Mytilus edulis: one gene and its partner. Each later gene encodes a partner of the first gene's protein in a complex. Links are inferred from orthologs where the notes say so. Each region holds a gene or a part of one and is shown on either strand. Other genes may lie near its edges.

The links.
Region 2: DNA-directed RNA polymerase III subunit RPC2-like (region 1) and DNA-directed RNA polymerase III subunit RPC6-like share a complex: the UniProt entries of both Drosophila melanogaster proteins name them as parts of the RNA polymerase III (Pol III) complex. The link is inferred for Mytilus edulis from reciprocal best matches to the Drosophila melanogaster genes Polr3B and Polr3F.

The regions. Positions count from the first base shown.
Region 1 is NC_092353.1:3,000,067-3,008,088, reverse strand, and holds the start of DNA-directed RNA polymerase III subunit RPC2-like, read right to left. Parts: upstream 3,166-8,022; 5' UTR 3,084-3,165; coding exon 3,033-3,083; intron 1-3,032. UniProt on the Drosophila melanogaster protein: DNA-dependent RNA polymerase catalyzes the transcription of DNA into RNA using the four ribonucleoside triphosphates as substrates. Second largest core component of RNA polymerase III which synthesizes small RNAs, such as 5S rRNA and tRNAs.
Region 2 is NC_092346.1:17,924,240-17,931,901, forward strand, and holds the start of DNA-directed RNA polymerase III subunit RPC6-like, read left to right. Parts: upstream 1-4,603; 5' UTR 4,604-4,690; coding exon 4,691-4,749; intron 4,750-7,662. Other genes in the region: histone acetyltransferase KAT5-like, read right to left, coding at 1,059-1,222, 1,853-1,921, 4,228-4,285, 4,388-4,426. UniProt on the Drosophila melanogaster protein: DNA-dependent RNA polymerase catalyzes the transcription of DNA into RNA using the four ribonucleoside triphosphates as substrates. Specific peripheric component of RNA polymerase III which synthesizes small RNAs, such as 5S rRNA and tRNAs.

The DNA of each region.
Region 1 (8,022 bases):
AGTGCATTATAAAACCATGTATTATATTGTCAATTTGATGATGTAATATTAAAATAAAAAGTGAAAACAAGTTATTCAATTTCGATCCTGTGGAGTAAAGCAAATATTTTTAGAATAAAAATACCCAAAATGTCACTAATAAGCTAAAAAAGAGTAGAATGAGAAAAATCATTCTGAAAAAAAGTATACAGCTAGGAAACTCAGACATGTGACAGAGGTTGAATACAACATAAACATAAATTTATACAAATTATGATACACTGCCATCGCTTTTATTTCTCATCCTACAGTCAAATCATTCCTTCAATTGCAAATGTACTCAATGCAAGCACAGTACAGCATCCATTTTGCATTATAACGTTTTAAGTGTTACAAGAAAATATTTCACTGTTGCAAAGGCAGTCTGCACCAAAAACTTTTTCAACTACTAGTCCGAAGACCAATATTCTGACATTTTTCTTATTTGGCCAAACAAAGTTTTGCAAAAACTCACTAGTCCAAATGAAATTTTACTAGTCTGGGGCATCGGACTAGTGGCTAACCGTGCAGACTGCTGAAAGGTATTTATTTTCTGTGAAAAAGGTTTGAGCAGGACTTATTTATTTATTTCTATGAAATATCTTCATTCAAAACTAATATCACAGGGACTTATTTCCCTCTTTTTTCTTATTTTTACGAAGTCCCCAATTACGGTAGAAAAATCAATAAAAAAAAAAAATGAAAAAAAATCGGGAAAATTTCCCGAATTTTTCATTCTACTAATGAACTCAAAATCGTTAACTTTTTATTTCAGATCTAGTCCCTGTTCCGGTTTTCCCCGCATTTGCGCAGAAATCTGTCTTGTTTGCATGAGACTTTGAAAAGAAAATTATATGTGAGCCAGTCCATGTGAACAGGTACAAAAACGAAAAATTTACGAAATTCTAAAAAGTGTGCATAATTATTGGTAGTAGACTTGTGATTTATAAAACACATTTACTTTCCCTCATATCATCAAGCTGTGAGCTACACGCACCTGCGAGTGTTGAGACCCCCCCCCCCCTAGTTTTATCAAGATTTTTAGTGAATTATTTCATATATTTCAATCATTTTCAAAGTACAGTTTAAATGGCTTGATTTGCCAATTGATAATGTTAAACCTGGTAGCAGTGGGGATAAGGCTCTCGCTTACGATGCGGATAACAATGCAATCAAACCGGGCAACGGTTCGAATCCCGTGCAACTAAGGTTGATTTATATAATATTAAATAACTTAACTTAACTTAAATTTCAATTTCTAAAACACAAGATGTCATAGTTTTTGCATTTTCCCTCATGTTTTAATGTTGTCTTTCTTTCTTTAAACCTGTAGAACTGACGGAAATTATTGACTTTTGTCTCTGAAGTGTCATAATTTTTTGTAGTTTCTGGTCGGTATAGCATTAGTCCGGGGAACAAATGATTTTACACTTGCTCAAATACCAAAAATTCAGATATTTCTACGTCTTTTTCGGTTTTAGTTGACAAATTCGGGATAGAATTGACAATCTTATGAATGTTTACATTAATGTAATTTTTTTTCGGATAAAATCGTTTTTCAAAAATACTATAACAAACTTTGATAACGTGTCCTGTAAAGTTTACCAAAAGGACTTTTTGTACCTTTTCGCATGGACTGGCTCATGTATCAGTCTAGTAAAATATAAGATTGGAACTCAATACAATTTCATTTTAAATAATTGTTTGATTTGAAAAAAACGTTACCTGATGGAAGCGTTTCTTTTGTTTACATTGAATATGACGTCATAATTTAAACAACGTCACAGCTAAATCCCTAACCACAGAACCGAAATCGGGAACGTTACGGTATTTCCGTTTCCTTTATTAACATGTTTGAGGTAAGAAAATAATACATACAGACTTTGTCCACATTCACAGGTTATGCCTGCCTCATATTATGGGGACGAAGTCCCCAATTACGGTAGAAAAATCAATAAAAAAAAAAAAAAATCGGGAAAATTTCCCGAATTTTTCATTCTACTAATGAACTCAAAATCGTTAACTTTTTTTTGTCAGATCTACTTCCTGTTCAAGTTTTCTCCGCTTTTGCACAGATATCTGTCTTGTTTGCATGAGACTTTGAAAAAATTTATATTTATCAGTCTAGTAAAATATAAGATTGGATCTCAATACAAATTCAATTTTAATAATTGTTTGATATGAAAAAACGTTACCTGATGAACCATTTCTTTTGTTTACATCGAATATGACGTCATAACTTAAAGAACGTCACAGCTAATTCCCTAACAACAGAATCAAAATCGGGAACGTCTACGTACGGTATTTCGGTTTCTTTTATCAACGGGATTGAATTCAAAAAATTAATACATACAGACTTCTTCCCCATTCACAGGTTATGCCTGCCTCATATTATTGGAACAAAATTCATAGAGCTGTGATTTTTGTTCTGGAACTTGTAAACAACAAATGACTTATTTCACATTTGATAAAAAAATTAGTTCCAGAACAAGTTTCACAGTGCTTCTGTGATATAAATACTGGTGGAACATATTTCCTATGAAATTTGTTTCGGATGGAACAAATGTCTGACACGCCTGAACAAATATTTTGTCACACATGGATCCCCCTTTTTTTTCACTTTGGGCTCGTATGGATAGTAAAAATAGGTATTGTAATCGACTAGTAATGGATTGTTGAGACTTTATATATGTCGATACAGTGTAGATAACTTTTTTTAGTGAAAAAGAAAAGGGGGGTGCATGCCCCAAATATCTGTGTACTGAACTGGCTTTACATTGTCTCATGAGTTTTCGTTTATTTTACCAAATTGATTTTTCGGATGAAATGGATGTCTTGTCCCTTACCCTTTGAGTTCTTATTAGACTCCTTTGAGCCAAATTGTGGTCAAATGTCCTCCTTTTACTTCTAGCGGTGTTTTAATAATTTAGACTGTTAGAGGCCGGCTGCTGTCTTAGCTATAGCTTTTAAAACTATTATCAATATATCTAGACTACGCATGTTCTAAAACTTACCTCAACACTTTTGATAGGTGCTGAAAGATCTGTTTTGTCAGAGGACGACATATCTTTAATAAATAAGTTTATTTTCTCATATTTTACATTTCGTCATGGGCGCAGACATCTTTTTTTGATCTCCCTAACGAATGACCCACACTCGTCCTACTGCAATATCGTCCCAAAAGTTCACTCGCTTAATATCAACTGTCCCACTAATGTAAAAGACTTAAATCCCGCTATAAAATTCTCCGTGAATGAAAGACGGATATATCGGTTAAGTAATGAATGTGAGTAAAGTTCTGCTTAATAAAGGTAGGCTAACTTGCACCATTTATAAAACTACAGTAGATGCTCTAAAGAGCCTGTGTCGCTCACCTTGGTCTATGTGAATATTGAACAAGGGACACAGATGGATTCATGACAAAATTGTGTTTTGGTGATGTTGATGTGTTTATAGATCTTACTTTACTGAACATTATTGCTGCTTACAATTATCTGTATCTATAATGAACTTGGCCCTGTAGTAACAGTGGAAAATGTTAGTAACAATTTACAAATTTTAACGGAAAATTGTTAAAAATTGGCTATAAAGGCTGAATAACTACTTAGGGGGTCAATTGACCATTTTGGTCATATTTGACTTGTTTTGAGGTCTTTCTTTGCTGTACATTTTTGCTGTTTACAGTTTATCTCTATCTATAATAATATTCAAGATATAATAACCAAAAACGTCAAAACTTCCTTTAAATCACCAACCAGGGGCAACGGGTTGTCCGATTCATCTGAAAATTTCAGGGCAGATAGATCCTGACCTGATAAACAAATTTACCTGTGTCAGATTTGCCCTAAATGCTTTGGTTTTTGAGATATTAGCCAAAAACTGCATTTTACCCCATATGTTCTATTTTTAGCCATGGCGGCCATCTTGATTGGTTTGCCGGGTCACCGGACACATTTTTTTAAACTAGAAACCCCAATGATGATTGTGGCTAAGTTTGGTTAAATCTGGCTTAGTAGTTTCAGAGGAGAAGATTTTTGTAGAAGTTAACGACGACGGACGACGGACGCAAAGTGATGAGAAAAGCTCACTTGGTCCTTCGGGGTCTAGTTGAAGGTTTTGAATTCTCAAAGATCTTTAATATGCTGAATCTAATTATGTGTAAAGATTTCGAAATTTGAGCCCCGTTGTTAAATAACTGAGGCTCATTTGAATTTTGAATTATTGTGTATCTTTGATATATATGCCTTATCTAACCGTATATTTAGACTTTTGAATATTGGACCTGCTTTCAAATTGGTCCACATTAAGGCCCAAATGGTCCAAAGGGTTCCAAAGGGTCTGAAAATAAAACTTTGTTTGATTCTAACAAAAAAATTAATTCCTTAGAGCTGACTCTAACCGTGTCTATTGATTTTGGAATTTGGGCCCTGTTATCAAACTGGTAGACACTGAGCTCAAATGGGTGAAAATGAAACTCGGTTAGATTTCATAAAAAATATAATGAACTCTTTGGGTACTTTGATATGCTGAATCTCACTATGTATTACAAATAGAATAATAGGTAGTTTCGTTTTTGATACTGACTATATCATGTGGAATATCTAGACGAGCCCGTTAGGACCAATTACCGATAAATCGATATATCACTATTGCCCGCGTCACACTGTCCCGATTTTTATATACGATGGACACACGAATGCGAAAATTGTAAGTTCGTACGAAGTTGGTCCCGATCTCGTTAAAATACCAAAAAGTGACTGAAGCAAGTACGATGAATAACGAAGTCTGTACGATGGTGCCGAAATTATATACGATAGCAAAAGATGGACATACGAAGGTTAACCGAAGACGGGTATTTAAGCTTCATATCTCAGCCGAAGCCTACACGATGGATCACGAAGGCTACACGATGGATTACGAAGGCTACACGATGGATTACGATGATGGCGCGATGGCCATACGATGTCTAAAAGACGTCGTGTACAGCTTACAATGCATTTACGGCATCACGCGTTTTAAATTGTTTGATCAATATTGAATATATAAATATGCATATTCAATTTACCATTTTCTGTATGTGTCATATACAAATATAGTGTCCATATTTGTCCCCAATATGTTACATACGAGGGGATGCCACGCTCGGCATTGCCTTGTTTGAACTGTAAAATGTGTGCACTAGTCTGAATAATCACCCATAATTATGCCCATGTTTACTGATCTATCTTAAAGGTAAGGTAATGGGTTCGTTGATCCCTTTTATTCAAAAATAGCTCTTTCCAGGAGAATATCATAATAATATAGACAAAAGGGAGGATGTGGGGAAAGCAACAAATGCGGCAAAATGTGACATATAGAAACATAATGGTTATGGAGTAAACATTCTTGTGACAACAACTCAGTCGATACATAAAAAATCAGAATAATGAAGAAAAAGTTGGTTTCCCTATATACGTGTACCTGCAGTGTTGGTGTACGAGGCGCATTTATGATTTTCATTATGTTACTTGATATGAAAAATTGACAAAAAATAATATTTTACTTGTAAATCCTGAGCCTGTAACAGTTGCTCTTCTTGTTCCGTTTGAATTAATAGAAACAACGCCGCTGTCGACTTTCTTGTTCTCATAGTATCATATGATATGAGCTCCATGTTTTGTGAACGTCTTCCTTAACTGTCGTATTAGACTGACCAGTGCATATCGCGCATGGCACTTTAAATGTATTTTAGCGCAAAAATTAACTTACATTTAGCTGGATTTATTGCCGTCGTAGTTCCATCTTGTCGCCTTCGTACTTTTATTCGATGGCAACACGACGGGATTACGAGGTCTTCACGAAGTCGTGTTGCCATCGTAAGACCTTCGGGTAGCTTCGTGATTCATTCGTGTAGACATCGTAATGTCAAAACTGCCCGATGGAAACGATGGAAACACGAATGCAATACGATGTTCAAAGATGCATTCCCGGTGACATTACGATGGTGAGGATGGTGATACGAACTCAATACGAACCCTCAACATCGGACGCACCTTAGGGGATTTTTTAACATGTTAAAAAATTTAGAACCCTTCCCGAAGTTGTCCCCGAAGGCTAAAAAAAAGTGGCCGATGGTTCTACGATGGTTAAAGATGGCACTACGAATAGCCCGATCTGGATACGATCAGTCCCGATTTTGAAAATTTCCATAATCGTGTTGTCATCGGCGTAAAAATCGGGACAGTGTGACGCGGGCATATGTAAAAGCAAAAGTATTTGGTATTTTAAATTTTAATAGAATGCATGCATTGGAAGATTTATACGTTAATTCGAATATGAAAGTGAAATATGCGAGCTAATAATACGTGATTGAAGAGTCATTTTGTTGGGATGTCATTTTTAAGTCTAATTCCATAAAATGAATTTTTAACAATTTGTTGTGTCATACGGTGATCCTGGTATAAAGGAAGTTTTTGTTCAAGATCATAAAAAAATGGCCTAAAAAAATATCTAAATTCTTAGAATAGTGATTTTTTGACTTATTAAACAAGAAATTATTTACCTGTGTAGTGGTCTTCCATTCTTTTTCGATCTGTTGTTTATCCAGCTTAAATTCTCCAATAACAGCATTTGTTTGCCTTGTTTGTTTGACATAACTGTGACATATAGTATATGGACACTATAATTATTATTTCAACTTGAATATATTTTCTTTATATCATTTTCCAATAAAAAAAATAAAAAGATGTGGTGATGATTGTCAAGAAGAAACTTCATACCATAGACCCAATAACGTGGATGTTAACAATTATACGTCAACAATAAAATAATTCCGTATCGCAAAGCAGGGGCGGATCCAGCCATTTTAAAAAGGGGGTTTCTAACCCAGGACAAAAGGGCAAAAAAAAAGGGGGGGGTCCAACTACATACACCAATTCAAATGCATTGATCGTCCAAAAAAGGGGTTCTTACCCCCGAAACCCCCGGATCCGCCACTGCAAATTATCATTGTCGGTCATAAAAGCTCAGAGAGCTTATGTTTATTTGTTATGTAACATGCCGACTATAAATAAAGCTTTTGAATTGAAAAAAGTGAGCTATAAAAGGTGCCGAAATGACAAATGTAAAACAATTCAAACGAGAAAACTAACGCCGGTCTGATTTATGTACAAAACAAGAATGTGTCCATAGTACACGGATGCCCCACTCGCATTATCATTTTCTATGTTCAGTAGACCGTGAAATTGGGGTCAAAACTCGAATTTGAAGAAAAAAAACTTTAACCTGAAGCGAACGGACGAACGGACGCATAGACGGACGGAGGCACAGACCAGAAAACATAATGCCCCTCTACTATCGTAGGTGGGGCATAACAAGTAACAAATGAAAACCACTGAATAACAGACTCCTGACTCTAGACAGTCACATACAGAGTGTGGTGTAGTTTTTTGCTGATGCCATCTCTAATCCTGTAACCTCGGACAGTGATGTAACAACAGTTCGACATAAGGACGACATTTTGCGGAGTCATTTAATACCTATCCAACATTACTGTCCAATTTTGATCAGCGATTACATACGATCATAGTGTACGTACATTCTTCGTTTGATTTATTTATATGCCCAACTATGGTTATCATTTGATAAAAATTGGACTTGAAATTATCTTATCCTAATATTTTGAAAAATCCATATCAGACATTAGAGGTTCCGACAGGGTTAACACATCAACTTAACAATGAAAACCTTCGTTACAAGTTTACGTCGTACTCTGTAAAATAGTTTTACATATATCGTTCATTTGTTTACTTTATTGACAACACTGTAACCTGTACAAAATAGAATTTAAAGCCCTAGAATACCCCCTATGTAGATAAAAAGACGATCAGGAAGGGATTCACACTTGTTCTAGATATCAAAAGTATTCTTTGAGATCATAGTTTTGTTAAAACATATTAGATGGATTTATGACTTGTGGTGAAATGTGGAAAAAGTTCGTTATTTTCGCGCTCTTACAACTGACTG
Region 2 (7,662 bases), on another chromosome or scaffold:
CTTACCCGTTGTCCTAATCCACTTACCCCGGGTAACGGGTAATGGGAATCCTAGAACACTGTCATACATGTATAAAAATTTGCAATGATCAAACATTTCATAGATTATTACACAGAAACGACATAAAAGTGAAATTTAAAAATCTATCAACGACAATAACTCCTGAGTGATAAAAGTGAAATGCATTAATGTTGAACCTGACCTCCATTTTGTAATCACTAACAAAAAATTTTCAAAATTTTGAAAAGCACTGGTTGAACAGTTCTTAAGTTATTGCACAGAACCAACATAAATTGTCATTTTCCAATCTATCAAGGACCATTACTCCTGAACTATAAAAGGGTAAAGTGTCAATATCAAATGATTTGAAAGTTTTTGCATAGAAACTGTTGGCAGCCTCGTGTCCTAACACCAATTTGATAACCACATTTTTTTTCTTCGTAAAACCTTATTTTAAATGTGAAGAAACAAATTTGATTGAGTAACCACGACCTTTTAAATTCTAATATTTTTATCCTCGGATACACATTCACTGGAGTAAAGCTGATGACTGTAATACGATCACGGTCATCTCAAGATAATGGATGAAAAATTGGGTCAGTATCTGTATTGTCTATTTAGAAAGTGTTTCCATATTATTTCTATACAACGCACACATTGGTATGACGTAAATTTATACAAGATTCACAAGGAAATCATAAATTACTACAGAGAAATGTGTATGAAACAGGAAATTTCTAAACCAACAACTTTAACCTGAAGCGGGACAGATGGACACATCAACCCCAAAATGTAACGCCCCTAGGTAGGGCATAAAAGCAACAGTTAAATATTTGGTGTGGTGACTCCCCATTACAAATGGCATTCTTCCTATTTTCCTTAAAAAGCAAAAATATGTATAATGAATTAACTAAAATTTTGAAATTCCATTTGGCTTAACAATTACATTCAATAGAAGGAAACTATTTTTTTCATATGTCTACAGAATATGAATCTTTTTATATATAAAATATAAGCTGACAAAGCCTACAATTTATCATGCCCTCAAAAATTCTTACAACTATAACTATTTCCCTTTCTGGACTGGAAGGTCTTGATCCTGGACCAGATCCTAATTTACTGGCAGCTTCTTTCTTGGGAGTTTTCTGGTCTTTCCTTGGTGGTTCTAACTTGTTCATGTCCATCCTTTCCTCGGGAACCCATTCGTCCAAACGTTTGTTGACTAAAAATAAACAAAGAATAGAGGATCGTCATATAACTGTTTTAACAATAATTCGTTTATTAAATACACAATAGAGGCAAGGAAAATAGACCGATTGTAATTTCAACCAACTAATTAATACAAACAAAATTTAGGTTCTGCAGTTTGTTTTGAACTTGTAAATTATGTTGTCACTTTAATATTAGATTATCATATAGGTATCAAATAATAACAACCTCCTTCAGTCAAGGGACACTATGACAATGCAACTGAGACAGTTAGATACGATAAGAAAAGACAATTCCCAAAAGGTAATTACTGTAGAAACATTCATTTTCGTGGGGTCAAAATTTCATGGTTTCCATTAAATGGAAGTGTTATATTATATGAAGTTTAAATTTTGCGGGGTTTTTAATTTCGCTGATATATTATTTCAAGAAATAAACGAATTAAATCCTTAACGAAAATTTCTACTTTTACAGTAGTAAAACCTCATTGTTCTGTTGTTGCTGGTGTTCAGTTATGTACTCAAATTTACGACCATGTCATATGTAGCACATGTACAAACATATGCCAAAGTGAATCACTCATGATCACCATCAAGACTGACTTTTAATTGAATAACCTTCCGTGTACTGCAAATATACTTACAATCTTCATAATGAATATAGAACATGTGCTTTCCATTGACTTCTTTCTTTCCAAGTATCTCAGCAAAGTCTATAAAATATGTAAAAATCTTTATAAAGTTCAATGCAACACCAAAATGTTTTTATACTACTGTTAGATTTCTCCCTTATGGACAAATAAAGCCAAAATAAACAATAGGATTCTACATGAAGGAAAAAATTATTTAAGGATAGATATTAGAAAACTCATTTTTCAATTTCCTATAAGGTGAACATAACAAACAGAGCTCAAAATGGTTACATATAGACCTAATGACCCTTTTTAGTGTTCAGCTGAATTTTCCACGAATGACCCTATATCTATCTTTAAATAATTTTCTGATGTCTTGCAACAATTTCAATTGTTTTTTTTAGGAAGTCAAATTTTTGCAGAATTTTTTATGGTTTTTAGAAATGGTGCACAAATATACATGCAGATGTAAATAAAATTGTCATGGGGCATTAAAGTCAGATCATGTTTTCGTAGGACATAATATAAATTCGTACTATGCATACTTTTTCAATGAAATATGTGACGTCATTATCGTGAAGCAATTATATAAGTTGTCCTAAAAAATTACCAATATAAGAGTGATTTATTTAATTTGAAGTGTTTAATAATGGTTAGTGAAATAAGCAAATACTGGGATTGTATCAGCACCATTTTTGTATTATATTATATTTGTATTAATACCTCATTTGCATTCTGTACCCTTCTGTGATGAAATCAATGTGATTATAACAAATTTGAAGTGACTTAGTTTGAACGATATTTTATTGATTTTCACAAAAATAACTTGTCATCATAAAATCAGCTATAATTAGGGCAAGTCATCATATCATCTATACCAGGGTTCATACGCCTCTTCTGTTCCATTTTTCCATGACTTTTCCATGACTTTTCAAGGATGTTTTATGAAAATTCCATACCCAAAAAAACAGGAAACCAAAGGGTAATATATAAATTCTTTGAAAGAGGATGAACTACACATCAGTATAAGTGTTTATTCAAGTTTTGAAATATTTGAATCAATTGAATAATGTAGTAAAATGTTGAAACTTTTCAGTTAAGTTGAGTGTTGGATGTGTTTTGAGCTCTTACAGTGGCTTTTCAATGCAGATTCTCCGTTGTTTTTTTACACCAGCCATTGTTTGTACTTTGCCTCTCTGGGTTTTCCAACCATTTAAACTGAAAATGGCAGTAACCAGGCATTTTTCTCTTGAATCAACTGATCATTGACTAGACATTTTTAAAAATATTCGACAACTGGTATCTTATACTGATAATGTTATTGAATGAAGCAAACTGCAACAATTTTTGACATACAGGGAACCAGTTTCAGTCATATACATGTAGTTTTACCAAAAATTATGAAGAAGCGAATTTTGAAATCCTCATTTTACATTTACCAAGACTGGCTATCAAACTGGGACATTGTTTGTAGCTCTATTGAGGAAACAGTTTTGACAAAAACTATGAAAAATATTTATAGACACCTAATAAAGTTTACAGTTCAAACAATAATAACTTTCCACGACTGTTCACTAAAATATAGCTTTCCATGACTTTTAAAGGCCTTTTCCCCCAAAAAATAAAAATCCATGACTTTTCCAGGATTCAAGGACCCATACAGACCCTGCTATACACCTTATCGCTATTTGTCTGCCATTCCTCAATCCTGGACATCACACAGGTTCCAGTAATATGTGATAAAATAAATTAAATCAAAATTTTAAAAAATCAGGAAATTTACCAAAATTTTCATTCTACTAATGAGCTCAAAATTATTTTCAGACTTTTTTAAATTCCTGCATTTGCTCAGAAATCTACTTTCTTTACCGGTCTAGTTGTCAGGTGAATTTGATGATAGCGTTTCTTTGTTTCTTTTTTAACATTGAATATGACGTCATAACATAAAAAACATCAGAACCAAAATCTGAAACGTTACGACAAAAAAAAATATGCATACAGATTTCGTCCGTTTCACAGGTAATGCCTGCCTCATATTCTTTTGATGTCTTAATACAAAATATCTGATACCACAATGGAAAAGTGATTGTTATATAACGTCAATAGTTAAAGCTGGACAGATTCTCGGGTCAGCCTGGATTAGCAATGAGGTGTATACAGCTTTACTAGAATGATGGATAATCTGAGAAAAAAATGGTCACATAAATCAGAATCATTTCCATGTCATTACGGAAGGATCTGGTTTCAAAACTATATTTTTTAAACAGACAAAGCATAAATATTTTAATAACTGTAATGCATTAAATATTTGCACACATTTGAATGTTCCATATTATGACCCCATTGTGTGTTTACATGATTTGATTGTCTCCCTTAGCATAACTTACGCCATCCATCGCCATTCTTCAATAAAACTGGCACTCTACACCCTTCTACTATTTCAGTCTGAAAAATATAAATAAAAATAATTTCAAAGATATAACTTGACATGACAAAATAGGTCAAAATAAGGGTTAAAGGCTTCAAAATTGAAAAAATATAAGGGACCTGCACTTCCGTCATCACGGTCATATTGTAGCTCTGCATTGAATGCACAAAACAATTTTTACGCATGGCTTCCTTTAAAAAAAATAAAAGTAATAATTGTAATAATGAAATAAATATTTATACCTTCATTCGATTGTTTTTATTGACAAATTTTCATTTTATTAAAAGTTAAAACAAGTTTAAGTTAGAATTATTGCGTGCGAGTCTAGAATTACACACAACTTCCTGTTTGTACTTTCACTTTGTCCACATGCCTTTCGACTTATTATTTTTGATTTTCGTACATAAATAAAAGACCAAGTTATGGCTTCAGCTGTGGGTGTGAAGGAAGAACCGGCTGAAACTTTGGATTTTGAAAACAGGTTAAATTTTGCCTAAAATCTTTAAAATGAAATCAGTTTTTATAAGCTTGCATTAAAGTTGAAAGTTGCATAGACCAAGGATTTGTATAGTCAGATCTTACTTTACAAATCCTTACATAGATCATAGTATAGCCATGAGGGTAGTAATGCCCTTTAACGTCAGGCTTCTGTAACCCTAGAGCATAAATTTTATTACAAAATTGCTCGTCTCCACCTGGATTCAAACCCAGGACGTGTTACTAGCCATCGTGTTAACCGACTGAGCTAAAGAAGTAGTTCCCTAGCTCAACCACTTACGGCTGACTAAGTATCTACTAAGTTTTCTAAGGGAAGCAATCCCGTCACACTTCCCACACCTCAAGAGTCATTATACTCTATAATGATGATATCTTCATCTTTTTTATATTTATTTTTTACCTGACTAGGTATTTCTTCTAACCGTGGGTTTTTATTGTTGGGCGCCAATGTAACAGGAGAGCATGAATTTCATTACAAAATTGCTTGTCTCCACCAGGACTCAAACCCTGGACCTCTGTGTTACTAGCCAGCGTGTTAACCGACTGAGCTCAAGAAGTACTTCCCTAGCTCAACTGCTTACGGCTGACTAAGTATCTACTAAGTTTTCTAAGGGAAGCAATCCCGTCACACTTCAAACAGTAATTTTTGGATACAGTTAGCATCAAATTGTGTTTAGATTTTTACCGCCGTTTGTCAAAATACCCTTATTGTGATTCAGTGTGATTCGTCAGAGGTTTCAAATAATTATTGTTACCTTCATTTTTGTAAAAAAATTAACGTGATTTTGTAAAGCAAAATTATATCCGGGTGAAATTTGATCCCGAGGAAAAAATGTCACAGTAGTTGTTGTTGTTTTTTTATCCGGAGGAAAATATTTCCCTGGGAAATTTTTTCCTTTGCCGTGAAATTATATCCGGGTAGTTAAAAAAATGAATAGTTATTAAAAAACTTAATTATTGACAAATACTGTGATATAACAAAAGTATATTTGAATATAATGCTAAATTGGATAAAAAAATGTGAATTTTAAAGCGAAAATATTTCACAGATTATCATTGAAAATAATATCCTGAAATATTCAAGACGTAAAAATATTTCTTATGAAAAAGATAATTATCATGAAACATATGAAAGAAAACCAGAAGTAATTTTAAAGATCTTTATTGTGAAATATCATCATGATTAATTTAATATACATAAAATAAGATAAGTGAAATTCAGGTAAAAGTGAGTTGTTTTCAGATTTCAGGACTAATATAAAATTAAAGGTCATTACTACTGTAAACAGTGAGTAGCAATGGAAGGATCAGAATACGATGGTCTTCTCTATACTCATGTACCTTAGCATCTAAGAAAAATAACTCAACTACAAACTTAAGTTTGTTGACTAGCTCGCTGCGTATATTTTGTTGACTAGCTCGCTGCGTATATCTTTTCTGAGCTGCCGCTTTATTACAATACAGCAATATTATAACAACATAACATATATACAAAATACTATTTGCCATCATCTTCCAAATTATCAATATTCAAAACACACAAAGTACTGTTTCGTGGCCGATCAGGAAAAACCTTTTGGAAACCTGCGTCCTTTTGTCAATGCCAAGCGAAACTAAGTGTTGGACCGCACTCATATAACATAAATGTTCATGTACCAAAAAATGCTCAATCTAACTTAATAAAAGGGAGTTTTAGTCCGAAGACTACGGCTATAAAAAATTTATAAGACAACATACAATCCAAATCCGATTACGTCTATATAGCCATACCATATATATATAAACTATATATAACAGACCATTAACAATTAACAATTGTCAAATTGAGCATTCTTTATGCTTATATGAAAAAATTTGATGTACACAGTACGAACGCAAGGCTAGAAATGATACTCATATAACTATCTATTTACCACTACAATTTTTGGCGCCAAAAATTCCTACGCCTCGGAAATACCTTACCGAGAAGACAATAAATTCACGCTTTACTGCGTGCCGCGGGAATTATCTAATATATTAAACTATGCATTAATCGTCCAAAAATACCCTGGGTTTCAACCCCCAGAATCCTCCCATGATCCGACACTGGATTTGCCTACCTAAAATATATGTCATTTACAAAAAGTCTGCATTGTTAAAAAAGGGTTTCCACAATATAATTTATAAAAACCATTTAAATTGGTCAAAATTACCTCCCTTTGATTGATGAAATATGCAAATTTTGTTTACCTTTGTGATATATTTGTAATTATTGTCAGGTATATATTGATTGCGAGTAACTTACATAGTAGTCAGCGGGATTCTATTTCACAAGGTTCTGTGAAATATAGAACGGAAAATATTTACCGGTTCATACTATCCGCATAACACAGATATATTTTCACTCCTAAGGAAAAATCAAACCTGTGAAATTCCATGTCTGGAAAAAATTGACCGGGTCAAATTATCCTCAGGATAAAATATCACGGAGGAAGAAATAAACCGTTACAATTTCGTCAAAATTAGTCTTTATCATCTTAAAGTTAAGTGTACATTTTATCATCATACAAAATTTTCACCAAAAATTACAGTTAAGGATGTACACCTCTGACATTGTCTAAGGAGTAAAAAATGTCTAGAATTAAACTTTTTTTCTTAACCTGATCTTTGGGTTTATATGACTAACAAAATAATTGGTGAAGAAAAAATCATATGATGGTGCACTTCTTTTTTTGCTACGGCCCTTTGAAAATGCCTTATTTTGATGATTTTCCCATTTTTCATTGTTTTTTATCTATTTTTGGGCTATTATCGTGAAAAAAATCACAGTTCCAAAATTAAACTTTTTTTCATACTTTCTTTAAAGATGAAGTGGACCAATCTGAATAAATTTTACTTGAAAAACTATAGGTAGGTG